Daphnia pulex: one gene and its partner. The protein of the gene in region 2 purifies or fractionates together with the protein of the main gene of each other region. This does not show direct contact. Links are inferred from orthologs where the notes say so. Each region holds a gene or a part of one and is shown on either strand. Other genes may lie near its edges.

Region 1 (9,027 bases), on a different chromosome or scaffold from region 2:
TGACGATGCCGTTCCGGTAATAATATTTTAATTCTAGTAATATCGTATGAAGTTAAGAATACGAACAAATAACATTTATATTTATTTGCAGATAAAAATGACTCAAACATTCCTCAAGTTTGCGGGACTAAGGTTTCCGCCGAACCTCAAAAAAATCCAAATTTCCAACTGTGATTTCTTGGACCTCGGTGTGAATGACGAGTTGTTTCAATTAAACTTGGCTGAAATATCAATCGAAAATTCTGTCGGCGTGACCTTACGGTCAAAGGCATTCAAGAAAGTTGCTCATTTCACTGTTAAGAACGTGGAGATGTTTTCGTTCGAAATTGGCGCCTTTGATCATTTAGATGCTGAATCCCTCCGTTTCGTAAACGTCACCTTTAACAAAAACAGCATGGACAATTTCAAACACGTTGGAGTCATTAGCCCCCAAAGAATCCAATCAACTTTGGAATTTCGGGATTCCAAACTGTCGACCGACATGGAAATTCAAATAAAGCAAACTGATGTAACCAATCTCACAGTTAGCTTTCGCGGTTGTACACTCGAAGGTTTGAAATCGACCATCAGAGCTGATCGCTTTGAATTGATTGGAAACAACTTCCCAAGTCTCTGTACTATTCCTACGGACGTCCCGCTAGTTCCAGAAGGTAGAATACGTGAAAAGCCAGAATGTGAGTTGGAAAATGTAGCACCCAGCACCAGGGTGGAGTTTTACAAATCACTGGAGCTCAGCAACAACACTTTCGATAAAGAGTCGATGCCTAACATTCGCTTTAATGTTCAAGATAGGGGCGTCATGGACGTTATCTTCCCTGATGACAAAAAGGCCAACCAAACTATGGCAGAATCAGCTGAAAAGTGGCTAAAGGTTTTCACTTTCGATTTTAAAGGTATCATGGCCCCGAATAAAACAAACAGGGGTGTCAATGAATGCAAAGAGAAATGGGTTTGGGGGACTAGCCCGCAAAAGTATCAAATCTATTGTCCCGACCCGCAGTCAATGAAAGATTTCGTTCGTTCCGGCAAGTTTAAACCTTTATTTCAGCGCCCACCCAGTTCTTCTAGTTCTGCAACTTCGTCTTTGTTTTCCCTTATTTTTGCAACATTTATTTTGGTGGGAATGTGAATAATGTCCATGCATTGTTTTAAAAATTATCCTACAAAATGTAATAGTCCTTCACCCATAGTTTTCTTTCAATTCAAAAAACGCAATACAATCCATCATGCCTACTTATATTTCAATTGTTGACCGTTGGTTTTCGTAGAATCAGTTTGTGAAATTTAGAAAGTAATAAACATTTATAGTGGCCAACTAATGTCCACTTATAGTAAGTTGATGACCCAATTCTTAGTTGCGACATTATTATTAAAAATATTATTGTTCATCAGGTTGTATACAGTGAGCTGTAGTTCTAATATAGAACAACAGTTATGAAATATGAGCGCTACACTGCCGACCGCATCTTATGTCAATTTAATTGCGCAGCAGTCTCGAGATGACGAATTAGTATCCATTACTAACAAGGTCCCTTGCCAGGAAGCTGCGTGTAACCAAATTGTTCGGCAATTTCTAGATGAAATCCAACCAGTCGGTGCATCCGATTTTTCAAAATTCCAGATAATCCTGCGGTAACTTGGGTAAGAGAAAAAAAAAAAAAACAACGGATGACAGGTTTGTCAACGGTTCCAATGGTTTGACTTTGTTGACATCCGCTCAAATTCATCTAACATAAATCGAAACTGATCGGTTAATTCAGTCATTCACGCGTCCGAATTTACAGCAGCAATGTCAGCCGTAAATCATCGTTCGTTTTGTTTCTTTTTGTTAACATCCCTTCTCGTTAGCGTTTGCTTAGCTGATATCGGCAAAGACATTTCCGTAAACGCTACTGACGAGTTGGTAGATGACGATGAGGATCCCGCCCGTAAAGCTTTTCGTCTAAAAGACACGTTTATGGACCTCTGTCAAAATCTGCCTGGCTGTACTTGCGACGGGAAACACGAGCGAGCCAATTGCAGTTGCATCATTAACGATCAATTCAAACTCAAAAAGGTATTTATCTTTTTTTTAAAAAAGATTTTTATTTAAAAAAAAAATATTTAAAAACATATTCATTTATTTTTCTGTAGATCAATTTGAATCAAGTGAAAATACCGACGACCATTGTGAAATTGGACATCGTTGATTGTCCGTTTGTCGATATCGCCCAAACAAAATTGGCAGATTTACCCATCAAGTCGTTGAATGTTTTTCGCGTCAAACATTTGCACATAGGACCTGGTTCACTAAAGCAAGTGGATTGTCTAAATTTGGAAAATATCGGCAAACTCGACTATGACAAAGACGCTCTGTCTGAATTAGTAGCCGATACAGCGACATTCGTCAACGTCACATTCCCCGTCGAAGCAGAACTTGTTCCCCTTTCTATTAAATCCGAACTGAAAATCGTCCAGTGTAACTTGACAGATTTTACGATAATAGTAGACTCGCCCCAAACAGACCGGTCCGTCTCCATAAATCATAGCTATTTGAACCGTCTCAGTTTGAAGATTAATGCTGGCTCGTTCACAATGGATAGCAACCAATTTGTCCAGCTCTCGTCAAAATCAGCCGGACTCATGGATATCATGTATTCCCATTCGATCGATTTGAAAAACAATCAATTTGGAATGAACAGCAACATTTCAATTCTGCCTGACGTGATGTCTTCGAATCAGTCCTTAGTATTTCATGCCACTAACTTTACTGCTGTAAGTCAAGAATGGCTGGGACATTTCGGACTGAAATTCAGCGGAGCAACGCAGAGTGGCGTGACCGGAAAGTCTCTGGGTTCGAGCCGAGGAGGTTGTGACGTACAGAATGCGCCTGACCCTACAAGTAACCGAATCATTACGTGTTCAAACGTTAAGAGCCTTGGCGAATTTCTGAAGACGGAGACAAAAGATGTGACAGCACAGCCCAGAGTTGACCATCAACCGGAAAAGCAAAAACAGATTCAAACACACGATGACGTCAAAGCATTGGGCGTGGCAGTGACACACCATTATCCAGCCCTGGCGCTAGTCATTGCAGGTGGGGTTTTGTTACATTCATTTGTATGAAATCCGAAATGTTATGTAATTTTTCCTAGCTTATTTAGAAATACACCAAAATACGGCCAAATTCTATGAACTTCAAATTCAATAATTTTTTTTTTATTGCTTAATTAAGAATTTTGGGTGAACTTCATATGTGTGACAATAGGACATTAGTGTAATTCATTTCAGAACAAGAAAGAATATTGGTAGATGAGGCAAAGCAAAAACAAGAAGGATAAAACAGAAACACATTTCATTCTAATAAGTAGGCACATCATTCACACACAACTACCCAAATGAATTATTTTTTTATTTTTTTTTTAACTCTAACTTGCAAATAGCAATATGTGCAACGGCTGTCACAGTTGGGTTGCGGTTATTTAAAAGATTCTTTGTGCGGCTTAAACATGTAAATGGATAGCTTGTACCACTGGAAGATTTAGGCAGAAGCAATATTGCAAATAATTAAATTCCAGTGAAAGATAAAAGACTAATAAGTCTCTTTAAAATAATACTACGTCAAACTCGAGGACTGCTTTTGATATAGGGAACGATTTTCACAAAAATTTTATTAATCGTCCCAATCGTCATCTTCATCTGGGTCCTGGCCGCTTTCATCACTGTCGGAATGGATGACACGACATCTTTCCTCCAAGGCCCTGGCCAAGGCACCGGCCATACCTTCCATGACATCGTCGCTGACGGCAACAACAGAAGCCTTTTTCTCCACGGGTTTCAGTTCCTTTCCTGCTCTTATTTGACCCAACAAATCGTTGCGTGAATCGAAGGCTGGCACTTTAGCGCCACTCTTCATCGATTGATCGGCATCACTCGGCACCGATTTGAGTTTGTGTCCCTCTTTGATGGCGTCCATCAGGGCGCCACGGACATCGGGTTGAGCTGGAGTGGGTGGGAGTGACGGAGACGAAACAACAAATGAAGGAACAGGAGGAGCAGGAGGTCCACCAAATGAAGGAGGCGGTGGAGGTGGTGGAGGAGGAGGAGGTGCACCGACAGGAGGTGGTGGGGGTGCAACGTTGTTAATTGGTGCCATTTTCGGTGGTGGGGCACGTTGAGGAGGTGCTGGAGGAGCAACAGATGGAGGGGAGGCAATCACTCTTGAAGGTGGCGGCGGTGGAGCTGAAACGGGTGGTGCCGGAGGAGCGATCCTTGCCGTCTGAGGTGTAGACGGAGGATTCCTTGCTGGCACCGGAGGTGCTGAAAACAAACTGCCGCCGGATGACTGTAAACTCGAAATCTCACGAATAGCCGCTTCTTTTCCTCCATGTTTGTCGATAAAATCGTAGATGAATTCACGTGTTGCTTTGTCTTTCAAGTGATTCTCCGATATGCCGGCCTTTCATTACAAAAGAAAAAAAAGTTAAACCATAACAGAAGTTAAGTTAAGACCATAGAAAAGTTAAACACAGAAATGCTGAGCGAAATAGTCGTCTTACTCTGGCGAAGAACTTCAACAGATTTGGATCGACGTTGTCAAGTGCAAATCCTTGATTGGGGTCCCATCCAACGTGACTGATGTGTTTGAAATCTGATGGCCCTCCAATATCCGCTTTGGTAATTTTCTTGTTCTTGTCTTTCTTCCCTTTTTTTGTCACGGTTATACTGTTTGTGATTGTCGCTGATCGTACTGCTGTAGATTTTGGTACCGATCCGTTCGTGGCGACTGGCGTGGGTTTTCCTGGTTGCGGTTGCTGCACTTGCTGCTGTGATAAACGACGGCGTTCTAAAACACAACAACTGAGCTATTAATCAACCATTATTTGTCAACATCAAAATGTACACACCTCGTTTCTCCGATTTCATCCTCAAATATTCTTTGATAGCCATCAGAAAGTATTCTGCCTCGCCTTCATTAGCAAAATTAAACCCGATGCGACATTCCTGCATTCGAAAAATATTAACCAAATTGATATTGTAATTTACTAATATGATCAAATGAATGTCAGGACTCACATCTCCCTCAAAAGTGTGAAAGTAAGGTCTTGGTGCACAGTAGTCAAAAGAACTGTACAATTCTTGCTCCCAGATGGCAGATTGCCTGTCGAGGCAAAATACTCTAAGGAAATAGGATCTCTTGATATTATCTTTGATGAAGCAGACTACACCACAATGCCGTTTGTTCCATGTGGATCTATTGGGTGGATCAGCAAAACAGACCTGAACCACAGCTGACGCCATACTCTGAAAAAGAAAAATTACAAAACATTAAATGTTGACTTTTAGAAGAATCTAGTACTGGGGGGACTTACTTTGCAGCGCAAGCCAATGAGTTTAAATAATTGATCATTTTCTTCTAGTGAAAGAATAGATGATGGTTTGTTTTCAGGTTGGGGACGCTTGGCAGCAGTCATGGCAATGTTATTACTGGTTCTAGATTTTTCAAAATGTGTCAATTAAACTTTCGATCGAAAACTAGTAAACACATCGACAAATTTATATTAAATTGTAACTGTCACACAACTGTAAATAAGGATAAGTAGTTCTTATTGTTTGAACGAATTTTTCACGATTATCATTCAATTGAATTATTATTTATACGCTTATTTCATAAACACTTACGGCAGTCACTCCCTTACCAGTCTCATGAAGATCTACACACGGTGTTTCACAATTTTAAGATACGAGAGTTTTATCTTGAGGAAATAGTCCAATACGGTCCAATGGTTTGGTCCACATCAGACAGGACGAAACAATTCCATCTAGCGGTAAATTCATAAACGCTATGAGAATCACGGGTTGGGATCAGTTGTTTACTTCATGTTCGGAATGTTGATCGCCTTTCATTTCTAAGAACTTCATCTTTTTGTGCTTTTATCTCTTCATTCGATTTGCTCCATATATCATTATTTTTTATCTTGTTGATGAATATATATATTTTTTTCAGTGATTCTTTAAACCAAAATGCATGTGAATGGAAAAGAATTAATAACCACCTCCTTCAAACCTGCGACGTGAGACATTAGATTGTGTATTAGAATAAATACGATGACTATTATACAAAAATTCTTTTTGAAATAGGATTGAAGGAAGAATAAATTACAGAGTTCTTCATCCGGGAAAGTCGAAAGGAAATTTCAAGGAATTCTGGTTTAAATTGACAGGCAATCTTCTTTTTTACTTCGGTTTGAACAATTTTGGAGGAATTAAAGGAAATGTAGGTTTGAAGTACAGAAAATAAGAATTTTGGTCTCATTTTTAAGCTGTTAAAATTTCATTTGCAGGAGCCTATTGGTGTGATAGTTTTAGAAAATTGCTCCGTAGCATTTGATGAAGATGGATCTGGGGTATTTGCTTTTGTTGTTACTTTCTCTGGTGATCAAGACAGACATGTGTTCTCTTGCTTCAGTGTGAATCAAGCACAGAATTGGGTCATAGCCTTGAGGCAAGCCAGGTAAAATTTTTCATAATAATTCATACATGGACAGTGCTGACATAAAATTAATTTTTATTTAGTTATGAACATTTGAGAATCCAAGTCAAAATTTTAGAGAGTAAACTGGAAAGTCTTGGTGGAAAGGTAAGTTTAAAAGGAAAAATTTTAAGGGAAAATTATTGTTAAAATGATAAAATCTTTGGTATGTTCAGAGCATTTTTAAATGGAGTACCACAGCAGCATCATCAAGTAGTACTACACCAAGTAGTGTATTTAAACAGCCTTCCAATTCTGCAGTTCCCGCTTTACCTACGCCCCCAGCCAGAAAACGTATCGGGCCTAAAGCAAAAACATTTGTGAGTCACATGTCTGACGAAAATCCCCTGCCGATAAATTCTTTCATAAGTGATAACAAACAGCCTGATCAAGACTTGATCAAATGGTGATTAGTGATGAAAAAAACAACCGTCCGACTTAAAAAAAACGTGCCAATCATAAAGAGATTTAGATAGATTTGTGTAATTAATATTAACATTCCTCTATTAAGCAAATTAAGTTATGTTCGGCTGATTTTCGAAATCTAGTCATTAAATAATGGCTCAAAGAAAAACTGCCTCTCGTTCGTCGCATTGGTTTGCACTTGTTACAATTGGCTATTCCGCTGTATCACATTGACATCAACAGGCAAACTAATGTCGTTTTTAGAAATCTTCTTTCTTTTGAAGCTGCGTGGCCGTGAACGTTGATGGTTATTTTCTTTTGGTGTGCAGTTACTGATTCGGTTGCAAAAGCCGGTCAAGAATGTTTGAATCAATTGGTTATCAACATTGTACAGAATAAATCCTTTTCGTTTATCCCATCCAATGTGACTGATTAAGCGAAAATCTTTTGGGGGACTGACGCTGAAGGTGTCGTCCTTCGTGTTTGCTGTGGAATTAAAAAATCAGATTTGAATGTCATCTCGGGATCATGTGAAATAGTGTTTGATGTTGTCCTTAATACCTTTATTTTTTAGTAGATAAGCTCTGACAGTTCTAAGAAAGATTGAAGCTTCAGCTTCGTCGGCAAAGTTGAGACCAATTTGAGTATTCTAATTTTTAATAATTCAAATATTTAAAAAAATAGTAAATAGGTGAAAGAGTTTGGCGAATTGACTCACGTTGCTGGAGCTCACGGTGTGAAAATATGGAGCTGGTGCGTGATAGACTACGTTTTCGTGAAGCTTTTGCTGCCAAATAACTTGACGTCGGACCAGACAAAATATTTTTAGCCAGAAATTACAGTTGCTGTCTTCTATCAAACACAAAATCCCGCAGTCTTCCTTCGTCCACTGCGTGTATTCAGGTGGCTCGGGCAAAAAGAGCTGGACAACAGTGGTGGCAGCGCTCTACAAAAGAAACATTTACAATCACCAATAGTAATAAATTTTTAAAAGCGGTAATTCTTACTTTGCATTGTGCTCCAATAATCTCATTCAGTTGCGTGTTTTCTTCGTTGGACAACAGTCGGGAAGGACAATTCCGACGTGACTTGAATGTTTTAGAAGCTCCCATATTTTATTGCATAAAGATTTGATCGAGTTTTCCGCCGGCTTCTCAATGCGTGAATAAATTGGATACAGGAGCCTGTTATTATCGCCGGCGTTCTAGTCGGTTGCTAGCGGCTGTCTAAGGCCACATGAACTGGCTGGCTACTTTTCTAACGTGTGGGTTGCATTATTGTCACTATCACAAGAGATAAGTATAGTCTTGCGTGCCCGACAAATTTCGACTACCTGGATTATTTTGTTGACCTGAACGTTGTTTTGACGATGATGTGTTTGATCACAATGTGATAATGACGCGTTTAAACTTGAATTTCTTCGCTAATCATTATTTCTTTTTTTTTGTTATTTATTATTTGTCTCGTTAGGATACGTGCATCTTGAAAATGTCAGGTGATTTACAGATCAGCGGCTAGAATATGTAACAAAAGTTTTGGCTTCGTTTTAACGCTTTATTTAATTCCCAGAATTAAGGAAAACAATTGCGAAATTCTTCGTCGGTCTTTCTTTGAGACTTTTAAATTCTTTTCCCTATTTCCCCCCAGTTTTCCTATTCAGCTCCTGATATTAGCCTAGTTCTTTTTGATAAAAATGATTGCAATAGAAGTCTGACATAATGTAGGTATCGTCATCGGATTCCTTTCTACACTTGACGTGTTTTATTGTTTAACGGGAACGTAACAATGTCGCCATCAAATATTTATGCTTCTGTTCCTGTGCTGCTCGTTTGGTCGTCATGTCATATCAAGAGTAATATTCTACTAGGCCAATAAATATAAAAATTAATATTCTCAAGTGCATATATTAGGTGCAATTGCATTCTCATATTGTAAATCAATAAACAATCAAATAACTGTATAATAGCTATTGTTGCTGGAAATGGATTTTGGGTCCGTTTATTTTTCAAATCCGGTCGAAACGGTTTCTTGCATGTCTTCAACAAATAGATGTATGCATAGATATCTGTTTGATACGCCGTGCAGACTATGAAAGATTGCCCACTTCCTTT
Region 2 (8,412 bases):
AACGCACCCGCACGACGAAAAAAGTAAAAATTAATTGGCGGCGAGTGGCCGACTGGGACAGACAGAACTTACGGGTGAAACCATATTTCCGGTTGAAAGTGAATTCAATCCATTTTTTACCTGAACATTGATGTCACTTTAATTCAAGCCAAGAGTTTCAAGTGTTTCAAAACGAGTGTAGAATGTCGACGACGCAGCAACAACCGCCACCGCGAAAGGTTTTTATAATATTTCAATCGATCTTCTCTCTCTCTCCTCTGCCTATTGTGATGTAAAAATTCTTCTCTTCCTGTGCGCCTCCCCTTCTGGGAAATTTCTCCTTTTATACGCAGGGCAATTATGCAAAGGTATTGAGAAATTTGCATGCGGAGCAGTTGTCCAAGGTACAATGGAAACACCAACAGGAATGCGAACTCCTAGAAGACTTGCGGTATGTTCGTACACTTAAAAGTCATTCGATAAAGTGCATCTGTTTAATTGTGTGTTTTCTTTTTCTTGTGAAAATGACTAGAAATTTCATCAAGCAAAGATGCGCCGTCGAGAAATCCTACGGCGAGGTAGGCCTATAGACACACACAGGAAATATCGATCCCTACACATAATATACTGGCCGTGTAGCATAGATACATTATACATCGAGCTATTGATTGACGGATGTTATATACATTCTCCCCTTCTTTTTTTGACTCTTTGATGACATGCCCGCAGGCCATGCAGAAGATATCGGCCAATTACCTCAACAAGAAAATGCCGCCCATTCACGAACTGAATCACGACGAAATCAACCAGCAATGGTATTAACTCACCCTGGGATATTTCTATTGATGTATAAACAAAAATTGTTAATCGATTGTATTTGATTGACTACAGGACGGTTTGGTCAATATGGAGATCTTTGCTGGAGGAAACGGATAAATTGGCAAAGGCCAAATTGGCCGCTGTCGAAATATTCCAAACGCAAATCGCAGACGACGTGAAAATCGTCCGTCAAAACAAACTCCAACTGGCTAAAAAGGTAAAAACCCCTAATTTTCGATTATAGACACCTGAGATTTTACTTTTACGAATGAATCCCCAGAATCTGGACCTATTGAAAGTGGTGCAAGGTGAAGTGCAAACTTGCGTGACTGAATTGGACAAATTGAAAAAAGTTTACGTCGACGACGAACATGTCAGTCACGACGCTCGTGACAAGGCCCGTGAAGCTGAGGAAAAGTATGCTGACCATTTGAACTGCAATTCAATCCATTATTTTAATTCAAATTGTTTTTATTTTTAGGCTAAAGAAGAAAAAGGGTAGCATCTTCCAGTCGGTTTCCTCTTTACAGAAGACATCGGCCAAAGTAGGTGTCAAATGTTTGGTTCATTTTTAAAAATCCTGATCAATTCAATTTTATATTTGCATTGGCCAGTTGGGGAGTCGAAGGGATTTGTGTGAGGAGAAATCGACTCAAGCCAGAAACGCCTACCTGCTTCAACTTGCTTCAGCCAACGCCCATCAGAATCGATACTTTCACGTTGATTTGCAAAACGTCGTCAAGGTACCATCTTTAATAAACAATCTTTTGATCAACGGCGTACTGACATTTTTCGTCTGATTAATCCAATTTGCAGACGTTAGACGGCGGAATGTACGAAAAAGTGGCCGAATACTTTTCCATTATGAGTCGGACGGAACTTTATACTTGCTCCGCCTCTCAATTCTCTTTCGGCAAAATTAAAGAGCAAGCCCAAACCGTACGTTGTTATTACTTTACCAACCCAATCTAATTAGCGAAATCTTATTTCCTTTCTGTCCATTTATTTTATAGATCAATCGCGACTACGACCTGGCCTGTTTCGTCGACGCCTTCCCAATTCTCAATCAGCATATCACTTACGACTTTGAGCCTTGTGACAATGACGTCATCACGACGGTCAGTTTGCCTCGCCATCTAACGAATAAAATCGATAATTGCTTTTTCAAATCAAAGATGGCGTCTGTGTCAACAAAACACACGAGTCGAATAATCACCAACTTTTCGTTCGAAATTTTTCGTTGATTAAAAACAGGTGGATCAAGCTCACGGAGCTGGTGCCGGATTGATTCAGAGTGGAAAACAATATGCATCTCGTGTCGCCCAAGAATCCAAAAAGATCAGAGAATCGACGAGGACACTGCAAACTCTACAGGGCATGAAAGAGAGTGGCTTGAAGGTTTCTATTTTTCCCAAACTTTTTGTTTGAATGTATAGTTACTATTGTTTTCTTTGTTCTGCAGAGTGATCCGAATGAACCCAACGGACCTGATATTGACGCCAAAATCGATGAAATAAAAAACCAATTGAGGCGCTCAGAGGTATTGGACTTGTAGTAATATTGCTTTTGTGCAGCCATCTCGACATGTTTACATTTCTTAGACTGCCAAAATAAAAGCTGAGGCTCGATTGGAGTGCCTTCATGCTGGTGGAGGTAAATTGTTTAAATTCACACCTCCCAAATTTCTGACTAACATTTGATTCATGTGCAGTCAAAGTAGATGAATTCCTTCAAGACGCAGAGGGTCTGGTGACTCTTGGATTGATGAGATCTTCTAGCCAGCTTTCTTTCCGAGTATGTTTTGCCTTAGAAACACCTTCATGAATCATTCAAATCAAAAGTTTATTTTCAATATTGAAATGAAGGAATCGGCTCACGAGGAATCTGAATTCTCCGACAGCGGCTCTCGCGCTGGTGCTGAAACAACTCAGCAGGATGAAGAAGAGGAAGAAGCTGCTGACGAAGCTTTCGGTAAAAAATCTATTATGCATATGCCAGTCAGATCAGTCTGGAATGACTAATGAGTTGCATTTGATTTTCAAAATAGTCGAGCAAGTGGTACAGCAGCAAATTGCTGAAATGCAGGCAACGTGGCAAGATCCGACGGCCGCCTGGGATACAACCGACGCCTGGGGAGACGACGCCGCTCAGCTCAACACTTCCGCCGCCAACACGACCACCACGTCTGTACAAATTGAAACTGCCAGCAGCGTCACGGATTCGGTGCATGCCAGTGGAGATGCCAGCGTCATCAAATGCATCGCGTTCTATCCCTACACGGTACGTTGATATCATTTTTATAGTTCCTTTTTGATCTTTCAATTTATTCCTCCGTTTGGGAAATAGGCACAAAATGCGGACGAGCTTTCCATGATGGAAAACGAAGAGCTGGAAGTGTTGCTGGCCTTTTCCGAAGGCGACGGATGGGTCAAAGCCCGGAATTACAAGGGAGAGGAAGGCTACGTGCCTGAAAATTACCTGGACCTGCACGCCGACGATCAGGTGCCGTGTGGAGGTGACGAGGACGCCAACCAGAACGTCCATCAACATCCAGCTATTGCGGAGGAAGTCGAGCCGGAAGAAGGGCACGAGGAAGAGGAAGAAGAAATCGTTAGTGCAGAAGCGGAAGGAGGTTACCCGTTGGAGAACCAAATTTCCTTTTCTTCAGTCGACTACACGTACCAGCAGCAAGGAATGAGCGCCGAAGAAGAAGATGAGTTCCCTGGGCCGACCGAAAGCGCTCCTTTACCTCCACCTCCTCCACCCATTGCTGCCCCAGTCGTGGAATCATCTCCAGTTCCTGCCGCTGATGGCCAAACAAACCGAATCATCGGCTACTGCCGGGCCATGTACGACTACGACGCCACGTCTGATGAGGAGTTGACCTTTTACGAAGGTGAAGTCATCGCCATTTTCCGTCGATCCGGTGCTCTACACGATCAGGACGTCGACGATGGATGGTGGGAGGGTCAGCTCCTAACGGACGGTACTCGAGGCGTCTTCCCTTCTTTGGTTGTCGAAGAATGCGGTCCCAACGGCGAAGAATTGACGCCAAAAGTAAAACATTTGATTATTTCGATGATAACAAGTATGGCAGAATATTTATTAACGTAATGGATTGGACTCACAGGTGTCGCCTGCAACACCTGAAGAGGAATCAGTGCCTCCGCCGGGCAGCCCTCCAGTTGTTCCTACTTTCCTCCTGCCTCCTGAACGGGTCATAATCACGCAACCTACTCCCGAGACGGAATTCCCTGATGATCATGGTACAACAAATAGTCCCTCATTTTCATGTAGTTGATCTGATCTTAATTGAATTTTTTTTTTGAATGATCAAGTAGAGCACATGTTCGACCAGAACGCCACCATTAAGGAAATGGATGAAGACGAAGATGATCTTGCTTCAGAAATGATCAACGTCGAGCCAGGTAAATCTTTTAATTCGATTCGAATTTTCCCCCTAATCAATTCTTTGTCATTTACTTTTTAGCCACGCCCACTGAAGAGGAGGGAAACAACAACGGCCAGGTAACATTTGGTAGAACGTTGAAAGTCCATTTCATTCTAAATCAATAATTTTTTTTTTTAATTTTAGATAACTGACGGACTGTCTGGCACTCAGATCATCGTGACGGCATCGACCCCCATGGTTGAAAACGAATTCAAATGTTTCAACCCGACAGATGAAAAGACGTCCGACGACAAGGAAAACGAAATGGAACAAGAATTCGGCGAAGAGATGGAACCGCCTCCGCCACCAGCACCGGAGCCATCAACAACCGAAACGTCGTCATCATCACTAGACCAACCGTTGCCGCCGCCAGCACCAATCGCTGACGAGACTGTGGTCAGAAAAGGATTCGACGACGAGTTTGTCCAACTGGAAACTGCCAAGGAATCTTACGCCTAGAGAAGAACCCACATTATCTGTATGGGCCCTCATGCATTTCAACTGCTGCTCATTGAGCAATAATTGTTTTTTACATTCCTCCCCAATAACCTTTTTGAAAAACACACACACTCACCATTCCATTCTCCACTCCAATTCAGGTCCAGCAAATAATTAACATCACAGAGAGGCTTTCATTTGCGGGTTGTTCCCATTGTAACGTAAAATAGTAAGTTTTTTTTTCTTCAGGTGCACAACGGGACATTATTATATACAAACCAACTCCTTTGATTCATTTTCATAGAAGCTTGTCAAAATATCTTTTACATGTTCAAGGCATTTGTCAAACATTTGCCCTTAGTCTGGATGATGATCTCATTCTATTAGTCCCAGCAGTCGATTCCATGTCGTTTAAAAAAAAATTGATAGGTGTCATCCCTTGATTGGTTCGATAAAGAAAAACGATTGCGAAATTCCTGTTCGATTACATAGGCAATTCTCCAACCCTTTTACAAATAACAAATTCGAAAAAAGAAAAAAAACAAAACAAGATTTCTATTTGCTTATTATCCAGGTGTTTCAATGCTGATGTCAACTCATTTGTAAGATAAGAGGAGTCAACTAGTCCAACCGTAACTTATTTCCAATTAATTATATTTATTTTCACTAGTCCATTTCCATATTCTCCAAACATTTGTCATATTTTAGATTTACAACAAGTCAAGTTTTTATTTCAAAATAACTTAACACTTGTAGTGTCTGTGGGAAAATTGTAAACCAGATAATAATGAGATTTTTAAAAAGTAATCGTAAATACTCTCCTCCTTTTCATTTTGTGACAATATTTCATTTGCGTGTGTGTGTGTAAGATCCGCTGCTATATCGTCGTTTGACATTTGAGATTACTGTTCTTAATTCTGAGCTCCTTATTACCTTGGTCATTCCCCAATACACACAGTCTCACCCCCCCACTTTGTCTAATCCATTTGATTTTTGCGTGAAAAATTCAGGTGCATCACGCCACCCGAGGCGAGAGAAGCGCGTTTGTAAACTAGGTTCATTAATTAAGATAAAGTTAGGAATAACACTGTTCACCGCAACATTTATTTTTTAATGATTTTAAGTTTGATTAGCCATTTAGTAAACCGTAGTAAACATATATAGTTAAAAAAGATAACAAACTTTAGTCTACACAATCACGACAGTCACGCATGGATGGGAGTCCTCTAGCGCTCGATTAAACTACTAAAGGATCGGCGAAATTTCCAGCTAGTCGTACTCCATGACCTCGACAATGAGTTGGCTGCAAATAACTAGTTAAACGTCGCATTTCCTTTCTGGTGTCATCACAAGTCCTGAAGGACACGCGCAAAAGTAACTTTGATTATATTTTGTTTCATTCTCAAAGCCAGAAACGACGGGATTATATTTAAGCTTCCCTGAGGCTTTTGCCAAAAACAACAGGCAATTATGCACAAAATGAAAGAAAATATGATGTGAGACCTTGAAAAGATCAAATAAAAGAATGCAAAATAGAAACAATTTCTCTTTTCCGGAAAAACATTCGCCACAACTCAGGGATTTTCCTAAAGAATGCTGGGATGGTAAATAAAAAAAAACCCGTACCGTTATCAGTCTGTCAATAATTGTGTCACGTGTAAAATTACAGATAGTAAATATTTTGAGGACATAAAATAACAATTGAATGGATTGATTATTTAACAAAAGGAATAAAAAAAGCTGAGTGTTATGTTTGAATAGCCATTGATGATTTGGCAACCTTGATTCACCACGAGAAGAGGAAATTCTCCCGGACGTTCAACCCGGGAAAGAAAAAAAACCTTTTATTATACAACACACGAACGCCGAGTGCTGTGACTTCACCTAATTTCGGCAACCAACCTGCTTTCTGCGTTCAAGACGAGCCCCCATAAGCCCCGTTACATTGCCTTAAGAGAGTCCCAATATTCATTCGCCTCACAGACGGCGAATCGTCTGCCTGCACCAGATAGCTACAACAACCCAAAGTTGTTTTACCTGCTGCCCCACATTTGCCGTAATTTTTAAACTCTCAACGAGCTACATACGTTTCAATCAGGTAATTTAAACCAGCCTTGGCTTAATCATGTGTAAATCGCTTCTTTCGTTGAATCTCCGTAGTAGAAACGAGTTGGTTTGTTTCAGTTTTATTATTAGCCAAGTTCAACAGCCTTCAGCACGTCGATAGTAAGTTGTAAACATACGTTTCTCTTCTACTTTCTCCCGTTCGTTTTATGGTTTTATTCATACCCTTTGGTCGCGTTACACGGTATTATGCGTTTTGTCTAGTGCTTGGATTATGCAGTTCATTGGATGATTTGAATCGCAGACTTGGTAATCATTGCTTGTTTCATTTGCTGGTTTCAACAGATTCACTGAAAGATGGCGGAGGGACATCAAGCTGTTGCCTTCTCGTTTGCCATCACCCATGAAGGTTTGGACGTCAACTTTGACTTTGAGGTAAAATCTATGCAATTGCAATGCTTTGTTTTGTGACGGTCAAAATGGTTTTTCTACTTCAGGTCATTAGGCTTATTGCCAGAAGTGCTGTTCGCTCATGGAGGAAGAGGGGACTTCGTTTTCAGGTTCAGAAATGTTCTGAATGCCTAGCAATTGTGCCCGACTAATCTTTCAATTTTAAACCTTACAGACAAACCTCAAGTCCAACTTTTTCCCAGGTTCTCTTCGCTCCCTGGTTATGACTGAGGCTGTTTTTATTGGTGCAGAAAAGTCAGGATATGATTTGACATGTGGACTAACTGATAAGCTAATTGTCCACTTCCCCAAGTATTTAACCAATGGATTTACTTTTTAATTAAAATAGTACTAATTTCTCTATTGAAAAATAGGAATTCTGTCGAATATCGGGTGCTGTGTTCAGCCATTCTAGGTCTTGCCGGCTGGGCTGGAGTCATTTTTTCGCTGAGACAATTGATGGGTTTGTTGCTCAAGTATCATGGATGGATGTACGAGGAAAGAGGTGCCGGTAGACAAGTCAGTTTACCTACTCGAGCCTGGTTTTTGGCCATGCAACCATTCTTCCGCCTCTTCCAACCGCAGCTCTACTCGTTTCAAGGCATGTTACCCACTCTTCCCGTTCCGTCATTGTCTTCCACTCGTGAAAAGGTTTGTATCAACTTGTCAATTTGACAAATATCGATGAGTGCTTGACTATTTGTATCTTATTTAGTATTTGAGAAGTGTCCGGCCGCTGCTGGATGACGCCCAGTACTCCCGCATGGAAAAGTTGTCACTGGAATTTGTTCGTGGTATTGGACAAAAGCTGCAGCGCTATCTCTACTTGAAGCGAATGTAAAACATTTGTTTGTTCCTTAATTTGAAAAATATTTTAATCAAACCAAATGCGAATGATTTTAGGTGGTCAACCAATTACGTTTCCGATTGGTGGGAGGAATACGTTTACTTGCGTGGCCGTTCTCCCATCATGGTCAACTCTAATTTTTACGGAATAGACACTCTTTTCAAGCATCCGACCAGAAATCCGGCGGCCCGTGCAGCCAACATCATTTACGAAGCTTTGCTCTTCCGTCGAGCTATCGAACGCTCAGAGCTGGAACCCATCATGGTCCAGGGAACGGTGCCACTGTGCTCATTTCAGTACGAGCGCGTCTTCAACACGACCCGAGCTCCCGGGATCGAAACGGATCGCATCATCCACTTGGACG

Evidence for each region.
Region 1: the proteins of protein nervous wreck-like (region 2) and neural Wiskott-Aldrich syndrome protein-like purify together in Drosophila melanogaster (affinity purification with western blotting, with the first as the bait; 3 studies listed by BioGRID). This does not show direct contact. The link is inferred for Daphnia pulex from reciprocal best matches to the Drosophila melanogaster genes nwk and WASp.

What each region holds. Positions count from the first base shown.
Region 1 is NC_060019.1:7,008,185-7,017,211, forward strand, and holds neural Wiskott-Aldrich syndrome protein-like, read right to left. Parts: upstream 5,822-9,027; 5' UTR 5,679-5,821; exon of another isoform or gene 5,662-5,678; intron 5,619-5,661; exon of another isoform or gene 5,473-5,618; 5' UTR 5,454-5,472; coding exon 5,352-5,453; intron 5,284-5,351; coding exon 5,056-5,283; intron 4,984-5,055; coding exon 4,887-4,983; intron 4,826-4,886; coding exon 4,539-4,825; intron 4,439-4,538; coding exon 3,653-4,438; 3' UTR 3,235-3,652; downstream 1-3,234. Other genes in the region: uncharacterized protein LOC124190376, read left to right, coding at 1,790-2,056, 2,134-3,105; pleckstrin homology domain-containing family J member 1-like, read left to right, coding at 6,004-6,053, 6,121-6,256, 6,324-6,493, 6,556-6,619, 6,688-6,921; wiskott-Aldrich syndrome protein-like, read right to left, coding at 7,119-7,402, 7,478-7,565, 7,635-7,862, 7,924-8,028.
Region 2 is NC_060027.1:8,213-16,624, forward strand, and holds the end of protein nervous wreck-like, read left to right. Parts: 5' UTR 1-182; coding exon 183-218; intron 219-332; coding exon 333-430; intron 431-511; coding exon 512-557; intron 558-708; coding exon 709-794; intron 795-870; coding exon 871-1,015; intron 1,016-1,078; coding exon 1,079-1,215; intron 1,216-1,279; coding exon 1,280-1,343; intron 1,344-1,412; coding exon 1,413-1,541; intron 1,542-1,614; coding exon 1,615-1,737; intron 1,738-1,811; coding exon 1,812-1,916; intron 1,917-2,052; coding exon 2,053-2,196; intron 2,197-2,260; coding exon 2,261-2,338; intron 2,339-2,399; coding exon 2,400-2,451; intron 2,452-2,509; coding exon 2,510-2,592; intron 2,593-2,663; coding exon 2,664-2,769; intron 2,770-2,845; coding exon 2,846-3,078; intron 3,079-3,144; coding exon 3,145-3,855; intron 3,856-3,928; coding exon 3,929-4,064; intron 4,065-4,136; coding exon 4,137-4,226; intron 4,227-4,288; coding exon 4,289-4,326; and 4 more. Other genes in the region: carnitine O-palmitoyltransferase 1, liver isoform-like, read left to right, coding at 7,109-7,186, 7,249-7,311, 7,377-7,513, 7,576-7,852, 7,917-8,038, 8,105-8,412. UniProt on the Drosophila melanogaster protein: Adapter protein that provides a link between vesicular membrane traffic and the actin assembly machinery. Acts together with Cdc42 to stimulate actin nucleation mediated by WASp and the ARP2/3 complex.